2 linked regions of the Caenorhabditis elegans genome follow. The protein of the gene in region 1 purifies or fractionates together with the protein of each later gene. This does not show direct contact. Each region holds a gene or a part of one and is shown in the gene's direction. Other genes may lie near its edges.

What was found. The genes of interacting proteins can lie anywhere in the genome.
Region 2: the proteins of dyf-11 (region 1) and osm-1 fractionate together in Caenorhabditis elegans (co-fractionation; one large-scale study listed by BioGRID). This does not show direct contact.

Annotation. Positions count from the first base shown.
Region 1 is NC_003284.9:760,460-767,239, forward strand, and holds dyf-11 (TRAF3-interacting protein 1), read left to right. Parts: upstream 1-3,292; 5' UTR 3,293-3,309; coding exon 3,310-3,450; intron 3,451-3,679; coding exon 3,680-3,838; intron 3,839-4,219; coding exon 4,220-4,366; intron 4,367-4,422; coding exon 4,423-4,886; intron 4,887-5,122; coding exon 5,123-5,252; intron 5,253-5,302; coding exon 5,303-5,635; intron 5,636-5,957; coding exon 5,958-6,191; 3' UTR 6,192-6,280; downstream 6,281-6,780.
Region 2 is NC_003284.9:16,538,018-16,544,259, forward strand, and holds the start of osm-1 (Intraflagellar transport protein osm-1), read left to right. Parts: upstream 1-2,656; 5' UTR 2,657-3,401; coding exon 3,402-3,440; intron 3,441-3,795; coding exon 3,796-3,939; intron 3,940-3,992; coding exon 3,993-4,105; intron 4,106-4,160; coding exon 4,161-4,266; intron 4,267-4,871; coding exon 4,872-4,951; intron 4,952-4,997; coding exon 4,998-5,073; intron 5,074-5,116; coding exon 5,117-5,328; intron 5,329-5,554; coding exon 5,555-5,678; intron 5,679-5,725; coding exon 5,726-6,224; intron 6,225-6,242. Other genes in the region: pat-9 (C2H2-type domain-containing protein), read left to right, coding at 1-107, 310-704, 887-1,061, 1,155-1,529. UniProt on the Caenorhabditis elegans protein: Component of the intraflagellar transport (IFT) complex B required for transport of proteins in the motile cilium. May be required for ciliary entrance and transport of specific ciliary cargo proteins such as che-3 which are related to motility.

The DNA of each region.
Region 1 (6,780 bases):
AGAACATATTTTCTGACTTTAAATTTGGACTTCATTTGACTGGAATTTGAGTTTATATAAAAATGAAACTATAAGATTAAGCAACAAATCACAATAATAAAAAAGCTAAAATATTGGATGTCGTGGGAAGAAAGAGAGGAAAAAGGGAGGAAAAAAGAGGAAGAACAGAATGAAGCAGTGGAGGTGCAAGAGCCCCCCCCCCCCCCCCCCCCATGTGATGGAGAAGTGTGTAGACCAAAAAGGGGCATAGGAGGCCGATGAGAGAAGAGACGTGTGTATGTGTGTGCATGTGTATTCCTTCTCATTCTCTTTTCCCTTTTCTGTTTCGCCCCCTCGCTGCTATTTTTGAGAGGAGTGAAACGAATGGATGGCAAGAGAGGGAGGACGAAGCAAAGAAGTGAAGACTGAGTTCCAAATCAATAGAGGGAGAGAAAAACAGAGAGATATACACGACAAAACATATAAGTTTGTTATTATGGGATACCAAATTCCCAATTTGTCCAACTTATAAATGTGGGAACACTTTTTGTATCGTTTTTCACATGGAGAATTGAAGCGGCAGTTTTTGTGGAAGCTTTGTATTTGAAAAAAAAATTCAGGTTTCAAAATTTTAAATAATGTGTTTTACATACTCAAGTACCTATAAAGCAAACGTTTATATACTGACATGATCGACATCAAAATTAAAAAAAAAAATGAAAGAACTACTCACAAATATGCAATTGAAGTTTTTTTTATTTTAAAGGTAGAGCAGCGCCAGTGGGGAAACTGTTAAAAACTACTCCAATGGTGCCAAAATGACCAAATATCATTTGAAACTCTCCAAAAAATTTTTGAAATTTTTTTATTTATTGTCAAAAAGTGACAAAAAGTGACAAAAACAAATTTATTTTTTACTTGTTTTATACTTTAATTTTGTTTTTATTATTTGTATTAAAACATTGTAGGGGTCGGAGCATTTGAAATTTCTTTGGATTTCCTCAAAAGCTCATACTTTTTATAATTTTGGTAATTTGTGAAAAATTTTGACCGGAAATTATGACAAATCTAAATTTTTTTGGTATTTTTATTATGATACTTGGTCATTTTGGAACATTATAAGTGTACTTAGACAAAATTATAAGCTATTTATTCACAGTTTATTTATTCTTTTTTTTTCAAATGCTCCATCAGTCAAATTGAAATTATTTGAAGTGTCAATTGACCATTATAGAATGTTGGAATGTTATTCATTGTAAACATTTAGGGGAACAAGTGATACACAAGTACCAAATATAATAACTACCGTAATTTCTCTATTAGTCTTGCTTGCAAAATTAATTTTCGCATTGCTCGTAGGGGGTGCAAGACTAATAGAAGCTGCAGGACTAATAGAGGAAATACGGTATATAGTTGTACGTTATAAATTTTTCAAAAGTTTTCAGCTTTTGAATGCCAATTCAGCGTGGCTGCTCATTAGGAAACTACTGAATTTATACATGAGAATAATAATTTTTTAACGAATATACTTGCAAAAAAAAAGTGTTGTCTCGCACCTTTTTTTTCTCTTCTGGGGGTTTCCGAAGATTTTGGATATTCAATATGTAATTTCAAATATGAAGTCTCTTCAACGAAGAAAATATCAAACAATTTATTTCAGGTGCTGAAGCTGGGAAATATAATATAAGAAAAACGGGAAACCCCCGTTCACATTGACAATTATGGCTGAATGTACATACCCGAATTTGAGTTAGTTTCGCGCGCGAATGATGTTTTGCGGAAATTCAATCTTATTGTTTTTTGTACATATATATGCTTATTGTGATTGATTTCTTTATATTTTGTTGATAGTTTTCTATATACAGAAAGTTTTCAAATATTTTTCAAAAATGAACCTCTTTCTAAAAAATAATGGACCTTCTGGAAATTTTTCTAAAAATTCATGGCGATTCAAATTTCATTTTTTAATTGAATTTTCATTACTGAAAACGGACTTTTCTCGGTTTTTTTCTTCAATTTTTGAAACGTGCTGAAATGTACTATTCAATAAAATCCAATAATCCTGAAAAGTAGACCACAACGTAGCACACACGAGTAATTAGCGTGTTCCCTTTTTTTGTTGGTCTCTGAAATCGTGGCAATACGTGGATTCAAAAATTCATAAAATATGACGTCACAAATTTTTACATAGTGCAATTTTCATTTAAAAAATCATCGTGGCGTCAAAGCATTAAAGCCATGTGGCGCCCTAATTTCCAGAGGTCAACCTAAGATGGGACAATCTAAATACCCATAACCACAAGAAAGTAGAAAAAAAAATGGATTGTATTATTATGTTTGTCCATATAAAAAGATAAATAAAAATTAGAATTATTGACCAAATTAGTTTGTTTTTTTTTAAATAAGTAGTCTAGTATACTTGTAACTATATATTTTTCTAACGCCTACTACAAATGACGTCATATTCAATTTCAGCTGCCTTAAACAAATGACATTTTTTACGTTTCGTTCATATAGCCTATTTCACGTTTTTGCCTACTATTCTAGATTTTGGAACTTATGTTTTTTTTTAAACGAAAGTTATAAGTACCTCAATATTAAACAGGAAATTATAAATTTAAACATATCTCTACAATAAATGTTAGCATTCGGCTTATAAACAATTTGTTTATGTTTTTATCAAATAAAAACAGTGTATATTTAAATAAAGGATTATTTCTATTTGATTTCCACAATCGCGGGAAACCTCTGAACATTAAATCATAATTTTTGATCTACATGAGAAGCTTCTACTTTGTTTTTATAGAGCTAAGAACGAGTCAATGAAAAAATTATATTGTTAGATGAAGATTGTTTTCCTAAAAGTTTCGATGTGATTTTCATAATATATGTAAATCTGCTAAAAACAAAATTTTCCACGATTTCTTGTACTGGTCGCAATTTGACCACCATTTATAACATTCCAGTCTACTTTCTTCTTTGTTTTCACCCATTTTTCTGACGTATTATATAATCAGAAAAAAATACAATATATTGTGCGAAAATTAAAGAATTGTAATCAGTCACAAAATACCTCAACTAAGACACATTATTCTGCTGCTCTCATCGTCTCACGCACTCTTTGCGCGTAAGGTGGTCTCCATGACAACGTGCCCCCTGCCTCAACAACTCGCCACACAGCGCCACCTGATATTAGCGTGCTCTCTCTCTCTTGCGTGTATTACCGCTGTTTCATTCCTCTTTTTTGTCAGCATTTTTCACCTTAATATTGTTTTTCATGTATTTCATGTTTTTCGCAACTTGTAATGAGATTTTTGCAGTAAAAGTGCGATGAGCGTTGAGGAAACTCGGGAAATTCTTGAGAAAGTAATTCAAAAACCACAACTAACTGATCAACTGCTTTCACGACCACCATTCAAATTTATTGTTGATATAGTTAGCAATGTGATAAAGTCTACGGGGTATTTGAAGGTGGGTATTTGAAAATTTTATTCATAATAAAAAATTATGCGCGAAAATGTAGATTTTAAGAAATGTAATGTGGTATGAGAAAAAAAGAGAAAAAACCAGTGCCCAACTTTAGTTTTAAAGTTTTCGTTTGTCAGTGATGCGAAGTTTTTGGTCAGTGCTGTGCCAAGTTACTCAGTGCTGTGCCAACTTGGTCAGCGCATAAATTTTCGCTAAATTTTCATTTTAACAGACTGACTTCACCGACGATGAAATAAAGTCCGCTGGCAACGACAAAAACACCAAAACTGCCTTTCTTGACAAGCTGATCAAGATTCTAGATGACGGAAGTCTCAAAAACGTCAAAGCCGCCAAAATAATATCGGGGAAGGACGCGGAAGAAACCAACAAAGTGAGTTTACATTCTATTAACAAGAAATATCTGTAATGAAAAAAGAAGGCGCAGAATTTTAAACAGAATTTACAATTCGATGTGAAGTCGCTTCAATCAAATTTTAAAAAATCTGGTCAATCAGAAATTTTTTTTTAACTTAAAAAAAAAATTCGATTTCTTCCGTAAATTATATCAAACTAAATTAGTGCCCTAATCATTTTTTCTATTTAAATTTTCTGATTTTTTGTGATAAAAATATGCTTAATAGTAAGATAAAGTATTTAAGCCGTTTTCAACTTGGTCAGTGCATTACCAGATTGGTCAGTGCTACACCAAGTTAGCCATTGCTTTCGCTCGTCTCAGTTCTTAGTGCTTTTTTTACCTTTTACATTTATTCAGATGCTGCAAATGTTGGGAACAAATGCTACGAGTTTCAATTCAAGGAATGGTACCGGAGAGGAGAAAAAGAAGAAAAAAGTAAAGAAAGAGGACAAAAAGGGAGATGAAGAAGAGAAGTCAACTACTAAAAAACGTAGCAGTAAGAAGGTAGAGTGCACTTTTAAATATTTGTTTCCCCATAAACTCAGTTTTATCATTTTAAGGAAACGCATGAAGAGAAGGAAAAATCGGAGAAGAAAAAATCTGCAGAAGAGAAAGAGAAGAAGAAAAAGTCTTCGAGTTCAAAAGAACGGCATAAGTCTAGTGACAGGTCTAGCGAAAAGTCAAGCGAAAAGTCCAGCAAGGAGAAAAAGAAGGAAAAGAGCACAACAGACGAAAAACCCAAAAAGAGCAAAAAAGACCCGAGTGAACGGCATTTTAAACGACAAGACTCAATGATTGCTGTGAATGGAGATGCACCGGATACTCCGAACAATGAGAATGGAGATGAGGGTTATGACGATCATGAGATTTCTGAACCAACTGTTATATCAAATATGGAAACTGATTTGTCAGCTCAATCACTACTGATCCAACAGCCAGTGACGTCACCCTTGAAAACTGATGATAGTGGGATGGGTGAGAGCCCGAGAATGATCAAGCCCGAAGATAGACCCCCGTTGATAAGGTAACCTCTTACGGATTGGGTTTATCTTCAGTTCATTTTAAAAAATGTAGTGCACACTTAAATAATTTTCTGAAATTGAATTATCCGGCAAATTTTTGGCTTCAACATTGTTGGTTTACTCCTTCTTTGACCAACATTTTTTCAAATTCTAGAATAAGTTGTCAAAGTGAAATTTACACTGAGATTGAGATGATGATACACACAGTTTAATCAGCTTTTGACATAGAAAATTCCAGACCAATGACTGGTGCTGGAGGTGGTAGACCTATGACATCAATGGGAAGACCCGGAACCGCGGCTTCAAGGCCAGCGCCTCCAAAACTGAAAAAGAAACAAATTGCGACTGTTGACTCAACGCCACAAGTGGTAATAACATTGTTAATCAGTTTATTAATTCAATTTTGATACCACTTTAGGTAGTCGAACTCAAATCGGAAATCATCAGCGATGCTCCAAAAGTGGAAACCGAAGACGATAGCAATTTTATAATGGAAAATGACGAGGAAGATGGTGATAGAACCGCTAGAATTGAAGATTTAGTTGATGAAGAAGATAGAGGAGCTTTGGTGCAAAAAATCATGGAGACGAAGGCTGAAATTGAAGATGGAGGAGGACAGGATCAGGTTGAAGAGTCCGATGCTGATAAAATTATGACAGTTGAAAGAGAAAAGATGAAGCAACTGCAGGAGAAGCTTCAGGATTTAACAAGATCTGCTTATCCGCTAGCAAGGCTTTTTGATTTTGCAAATGTGAGTTTAATGAATTTCAGACAGTTTGAAAAACTTGGAAATGCCCGAAATTTTCCGGGCTCCTACGAATTTATACAGACAACGGAAGATGCTAGGGCTTTCAAATGAAAGTTGTTTTGGATGATGTATTGATACATACCGTATTTTCTCACTACCTTTGCACTACTTTACTTTGACAGCTTATGCATATCGTGAATTTTTTTTAATCAACATTTTTTAATTGGGGTTTTTTTTATATTTAATTTCAGTGCACGTAAGTACTATTTTACACATAAAATCAATTTTTTGACATTACATTCGTTATAAAAAATATATTTTTCAGGACGACATCGAATCAATGATTAAAGAACTGGAGCGATGGAGAAGTGAGCAGCGACGGAATGAGCAAGAGGATCAGAACAAAAAAGCGGCAGGATTCGGAGACAGCAGTAGACTCTACAACATCATCGCAAACTTACAAAAAGAAATCAATGACACGAAAGAAGAATTGAGCAAGGCTAGAGGACGAGTTCTCAACAATGAAAAACGCATTCAACTATTCATTTCCAATGTTTGATCTTTCAGTTTTCCCTATTCAGAAGGAGATTTTCATTTTATTGAATTAAATGAAAAGATAAACAAATAAATTATTTTATATTACTTAGAGCTTTGATACAATGTTACAAATTCGAATGAAAATTGAAGTTGCACCAATATGTTGTTGTAACTAAAACTAAAACTAAAATGTAACTAAAATGTTGTAACTAACAAAATGTTTTGTTTAGGTCCAACACTATTTCTTATTGGAGACAAAGTGGAGGAAATTTCCAATGCCACTCCTTAGCTAATTAATTATTAATTGTCTAAAAAGTCCTTTTCAGGATTAGTTTTAAATTCCCGAGCGTTCAACACTTTTTTTGATTGACAATGGCTTTTTCAAATTTACAATCAAGTTTATATCAAGTTTATAATTTATTTGTAACCCAAACAAAGAAAAAGAAACGTTTTTAACAGACCAGTTTGTTGGAATAACACAAAACTCAAGACGGATGGGATAAAAAAGTTGAATTAGTGCCCGATGGGCAGTCATTCGATGGTTTTGAAAAGAAAAAAGAACCCGCATGGGCAATGCAAAAAGGAAAAATGAACATTTTGATAAAATTACA
Region 2 (6,242 bases), about 16 Mb from region 1:
TCAATCGGAGGTCGACACTCTGGAATCACAAGAGAATTCACTCGGATGCCAAGCCGTTTGTATGTACAGTGTGCCAAATGACGTTCAAATGGAAAAATAGTTTGAAGGTGAGACCATTTATATAATTGTCCTGTTTTCTTTATTCTTACTCATCACAGAAAACTCACTGTTTGCTTAACATTTGTTAACATGTAAGTTATAAGTCGTTGTGTCCTTGTTCAAAGTAGTTGTTGGGTTGGGGGAGGAATACTCTTTTAGTTCAATTCAAATTTTAAATTAATCATTTAATGAAATTTGTTTTCTCTTCAGTGTCATAAGGATATGCATCAACGAAAAAATGAAACCTCCGCTCATCTGGACAACGATCTCCGGCAACTGACATATGCCACAGCAGCGAAAAGAAAACTGCAAATGGAGCAAGAAGAAAATGGAGGACTTCCAGCATCATCGTCAGCTTCATCTGTAATTTCTCATCCACTGATCACGACGACATCTGGAAACAAAAAACGATCGAAAGCGGCAAAAGCCAAGCAAACGCCAAGCTCCTTGGCAACTACATTAAGTCAAGTGCATCTGGGAGCTGTTCAGCCGTTGCATGCCAGTGCTTTAGTACCTCCAAGTGATCATCAAATCGATTTGGACACTACCTCTCTTGATTCATTGATGCAGAGTCAGAATCAAAATTTCCTTATGCAACTTTATGGGTTAGTACTTTTAGACATTTATGATAAATATTATACATTAACTAATTTTTACAAATATCTCTATTACTTTTCCAATTCAACATTTGAGTTATTACATAATATCTATTGAAATATCTGGTTAGAGTTAAAAATTATTGAAAGTCAGTTTAATACTGAAAAATCTCTAAAATCATAATTTTCAGCTATAGCGACGATGGTCGCCACAACGGAGGCATGCTGTCGCTGGACGACACGATGCTCTCAAATCTCAGTGATTCTAAATCAGACTCTGGCTCATCATCGGGTGGATTGAGCATTCAACTTCCAATGCAAACTATTAACATGCTTAACTTCCGGAATCTTGGCACGCAACAATTGGTACGTTTTTGTTTTTATGGTTTTATTTTGGAAGTTCCATAATGTCTCCCCAAACCAAATAATCACACAAGTTTCGAAAACATTTTTTTTCAGCCGCCAGTGCACCAACTCGCCTCCTCCTTGCCTTCAGTGTCATCTGGAATGGATTATGTAAATGTAAACCAGCATGACTCTCACTACATCGTCTCCCAACCCGACATGATGCTCGGAAACCAGCCCCTCTACCACAATGGAAGCTTCGCCAACATTGAAAAGAGCAACCCACACAACAATCAGTTCACAATTGACAGCTGTGTACTGCTGCCATCTTCAAGACAAGATTATCCCTTCGACTATACCATGGTCAACCAGCAGTATCCAATGCAAGAGCAAGTTCACGATCAGACGGTCGGAGTGAGTGTTGTGCAGCAGCACTACGCCGAACAAGCTCATGCTCACGGGAAGACTGTGCCACATGAGCAGTGGTAAAATGTGCTCTTTCTTGAAAAAAAAACATTTGCCTCTATTTTTCTTGATGTCTGACATCGTTACTTTCTCTTCTCAACTTTACCTTCCGTGCCCAGTTGTGACCAGTATTACAATCCTTCCCATTTCCAATTTCTTGTTTCCAAAAAACATTATTCTTGGTGTCATTATATTGTTATGCTTAAGTTTAAATTATCAAAAATTACAAAAAGCCTATTTCTATTTCTCAAGAACTCGCAGTGATCTCTCTGTGTAGTTCCTAATTCTTAAACAAAAAAGTCTTTACCTCTCTCACACCCAGTTTTTCTTGTCACTATCCTGCCAGCCTTTCAGTTAAAGCGGAACTCTCCAATAGTCCTTCTTCCCAACAATCTGAATTGATAGAATAAATGACTTGTATGTGTACTCTACACCGATATCTCCTGTTTACTTGTTTGTACTATATTGTAGAAGCGATTCACTCAAATTAAGTGTGTGCTCATATTAACATTGCCATGTTTCGTCCCCTCCAACAGTTTTCCGCAACATCTCACCACCCCCACCTTTCCTCTAATTGTATCCATACCAACATCTTGTCTCTTGCTCTTCCAGTCTTTGTTTATCTTGGAGTCATCTCTCTATTCTTTTTTTCTTTTTGAAATAAAGTAATAAATGTAAATTCTTTAAAAAATGGAATGTGTTTTTATTTTTTGAATTCAAATTTTGAAACAAATGTGTAAATTGTGGGTAAACTTCAAAACAAAATCGTTTTAAAACTAAAATCGAAATGAATTTAATGTTAGTGCAGAGTAGATTTTTTTTTTCTAATATCTTTGTGAACCAAAAGTGCGTTTGGCAATTACCGAAAGTTAATCCCATGAGCCTTTAACGCCGGACTATTTTTTTAGAACTAACAAAACTTTTTTGACATTAATTTGACTTTCTAGTATTCCGGTGAACATTTTGCAACTAACATAAATGTACGGAATGCGAACGGCAGCTTTCAATTTCAGCAGCTTTTTCAATAAGGAAAGCACAATCAAAAGTTTAATGTTTCCTTTAGAAAACTTATCCACGTTCAAAAATTTACCACTACAATTTATAAATTAATTACGGTTTCTGTAATTGTTTGTGGTCTGCAAAATTCCGAAGGCCAAACTTTTAAAGATGGAGTAGCATCAGTCGGGAAAATGTTAAGAACCACTCCAATGGTCTCAAAATAACCGAATATCATAATAAAACTTTTCAAACGTTTTTTGAAAATTTTTTATTTACTGTCAAAAAGTGGCAATTACTCAGTTTTGTCACTCATCATTTTGGAAGTCGACCAAAAAAAGGTTTTTTTCCTACATTTCTTATAATGTCATTTTGCTTTAAATATTTGTATTAAAACACTGTAGGGGTTGGAACATGCGACATTGCTTTGGATTTCCTCAAAAGCTCATATGTCAAAATTTTGGCACTGTGCCAAAACTTTGACCGGAAATTATGAAAAATCTGAAACTTTTTGGAGTGTATTAAGTTGTTTTAAATTATTTCAAGTGTGTTTAGATAAAATCCTAACTGGCGCTACTCCACCTTTAAACTATATTATATATTTTTTCTTCATATTCAAAAATGGATCTCAGATATTTTTTTTTGAATTCAATCTTAAATTTACCAGCACTCAAATTATACTTTCATGTCTGTTGTTAAAAAAATCCCACTCACCAAATTTTCTTGAACAATCTAGGAAATACCACAAATTGCATGAAAGAACGTGTGAGCTTAAGGGCGGTGGTGTGTGAGCCTTGCTCTTGTGCATTTCATAGCTACCATGGCAACGGAGCACACACCAGACGGCTCCCCTTGTTCCGTTGCCCCCTTTCTTGCAGTTATTCAGTTCATGAGGATTAAATGAAACTCAAGTATCTTTCAACTATTCTCCCAGCTCAGGTGAGTAAAATAGGAGTTTTAAAGTATTAAAAAACTTTTAGAATCTAATTGCGAAAGAGTATCAATGAAAATTTCAAAGTATTATTATTTTAGTTTAGACGCATTTTACCCGCTGCATAATAGTTCAATTTTGCAAAAAAAAAACTTCTTGTTTTTATCCAATTTTAAACATTTTAAAACATTTTTCATTGTAATCACCTAAACCACAATACCATGTGGAAGAGACTTAGCGGTCGTGGCCTAGCAACCGCCCCTTCCGAATTTTCCGCGCGCATTCTGTTTTACAACTTTTGCGCAACTTCTTTTTAGTTTATAGCTAAAACTGTTGCAAATACATCTTTTTTTTAATTTTCAGGATGGAGAAGCAAAGATCAGCAACATTTCGTGCTCTCCAAATGGTTCTCGTGCAGCGATTGCCTGTTCCGATCGATCAGTCGCTTTGTTAGATGAAAATGGAGTGCAGAAGGATAGATTCACTTGCAAACCGATTGATGCAAAGGTTCGTCACATTGTATCTGGTGTAAAGCTTTTATCGTCTTATCTTTTTTTTAGTACGGAAAAAAATCGTTCACCGTATTGTGCATGACCTTTTCACCTGATTCGTCACGCATCGCCATCGGACAAAGCGACAATGTTCTCTTCATTTATAAAGTCGGTACCTCTTGGTAAGTGTGTTGTAAAGTTACTTAAAATCATTTCTGATTCATACTACTTATGCAGGAATGAGAAGAAAGTGATTGTCAACAAATTTGTGCAACCATCCGCTGTCACTTGTTTGAGTTGGCCATTTGATGACAAAATTTTGGTTGGTCAATTGGATGGAAAAGTGAGATAATTATATAAATAATTGGTGGAAAAACAAACAGAAAGCGAATTTCATATTATTGAGCAAAAAAGTGAAAAAAAATTTGCATAATAAAAACTCACAGGATTTCGGGTTATTAAGCGATTAACGTTTTTGCAAATACCTATGAAATTTTAAAATGTGCAGACAAATATTTAAAATTTTTGAATTCGGTATGATGCTCTTTACTTTTAAATACTGAAAATCAAGATGAAATTGTCATTTAAAATAGAAATATTGACTTGAAAAGCCGTTGTTGTTTTTTTTTGAAGGCGAAAAAGAAGAGCCCGAAATTTTGCAAAAACTGTTTTTCAAACTTTTTTACGAAAAATATTAATTTATTACAGTCCTTTCAATACTTTTTAATATTTCTACATACATTTTTTGATTTCAAAACTGCATAAACGTAAGTTCAGTTTTTTAGAGTTTCAGACCTGCATACCCTTTTTTGTTTAAAAATTTTTAAACTTGCTTGTTAGTTTATAGCAACTTCCGAAAATTTTCAAAAAACTTATATGGTTTTTTTTCAGTATTATGAACGTTCCTAAATTACATGTCTCGTAAAATTCTTACTTCCCATCTTCCAGGTTCGTATCGGACTCATCAAGACAAACAAATGCAGCTCACTATACAAAACCGACGAGACAGTAGTTTCGATTCAAACTCAGTAAGTATTTATCCTAAAAAGTAATCAAAAAATACTGTACTTTCAGCCCGAAACGGACATCTTTCGTATCGGCGCACCAGGATGGATCTATTATTTTGTACAATTTCAGTAGCAGAACTCAGGTTTGTTATATACAGTTTGGGCTTATAATGCTCCTAATTTCAGTCCAAAATCTGCACGCTGCAAGTTCCTCCGTACAATTTGGTATTCACAAACCACGGGCTGGTTGTAGCGACTTCCGATCGAAGAGTGCTGTCCTATACCGAGAACGGAGTTGTTCAGCAGCAATTTGACTACAATGATCAATCCGAAAAAGAGTTCTCTTCGATTTCCTGTGATCCTACTGCTCAGAACGTTGTGGTAGCAAGTTATGACAGGTATTAAGACTATTTGCACGTGGAGTCAAATTTCTTTTTTCGGTTTGACCTTCAAAGAATGTGGGAGTTAAGACGCAGAAATCTCATTTGATTTCGCGTGGTGAAGAGTGTGCTGGCGTTACCATTTTTCTGGAAAAATGTTCCCGCATTTTTTGTAGACCAAATTGTAATGAGACAGCCTGACACCACGTGTATTGGTAGAAACATAGCTCTAACCTTTTTTTAGACTACGCCTATTCTCCTGGTCTGCCAGAAGAGGTGCCTGGGATGAGGGTGCTCCGTTGGAAATTCAAAATGCATATACAATTGGTGCACTTGGTTGGAAAATGGATGGTAGTACTATTTATGCGGTAACACCCTCGAATTCTGAGCCCCATTCTGAATATGTGTTTTTCAGGGTACCGTGTGTGGCGGAGTATTTTCCGTCGATTGTTGCCTGCGACGCGGTATGCTAAAAAGTCGCTTCGAGACCACATATGTCGCACCATCACACGTTATTCTGCGTGACGTCACAAACGACACGAGAACCAACGTGATCTCCAACAAAGGACTAGCAATTGATGAACTGAAAATTATGGGAAAGGATAGATATGTTATTGGATACACCTCTTCAAGCATCATCATCGCTGACACAGAATCGCAAAGATTCTCGGAGCTGGAGTGGCAAAGTGGAGGCCATGAAAAGTTTTATTTCGACTTCAATAACTGTTGCTTAATCATTAATGCCGGTGAAGTCACAGTTGTCGAGTATGGAGTGGATGGTTCACTGGGATGGGTGAGAACTGAGCTCACTAGTCCTCACTTGCTCAGTGTGCAAGTTAGTGGGCCTGATGTGGAAGAGCACAAAAAAGTGAAGAAGTTGGCGTATTTAGTGGATCCCACAACTATTTCGATTAGTAAGTGAAAATCACAAT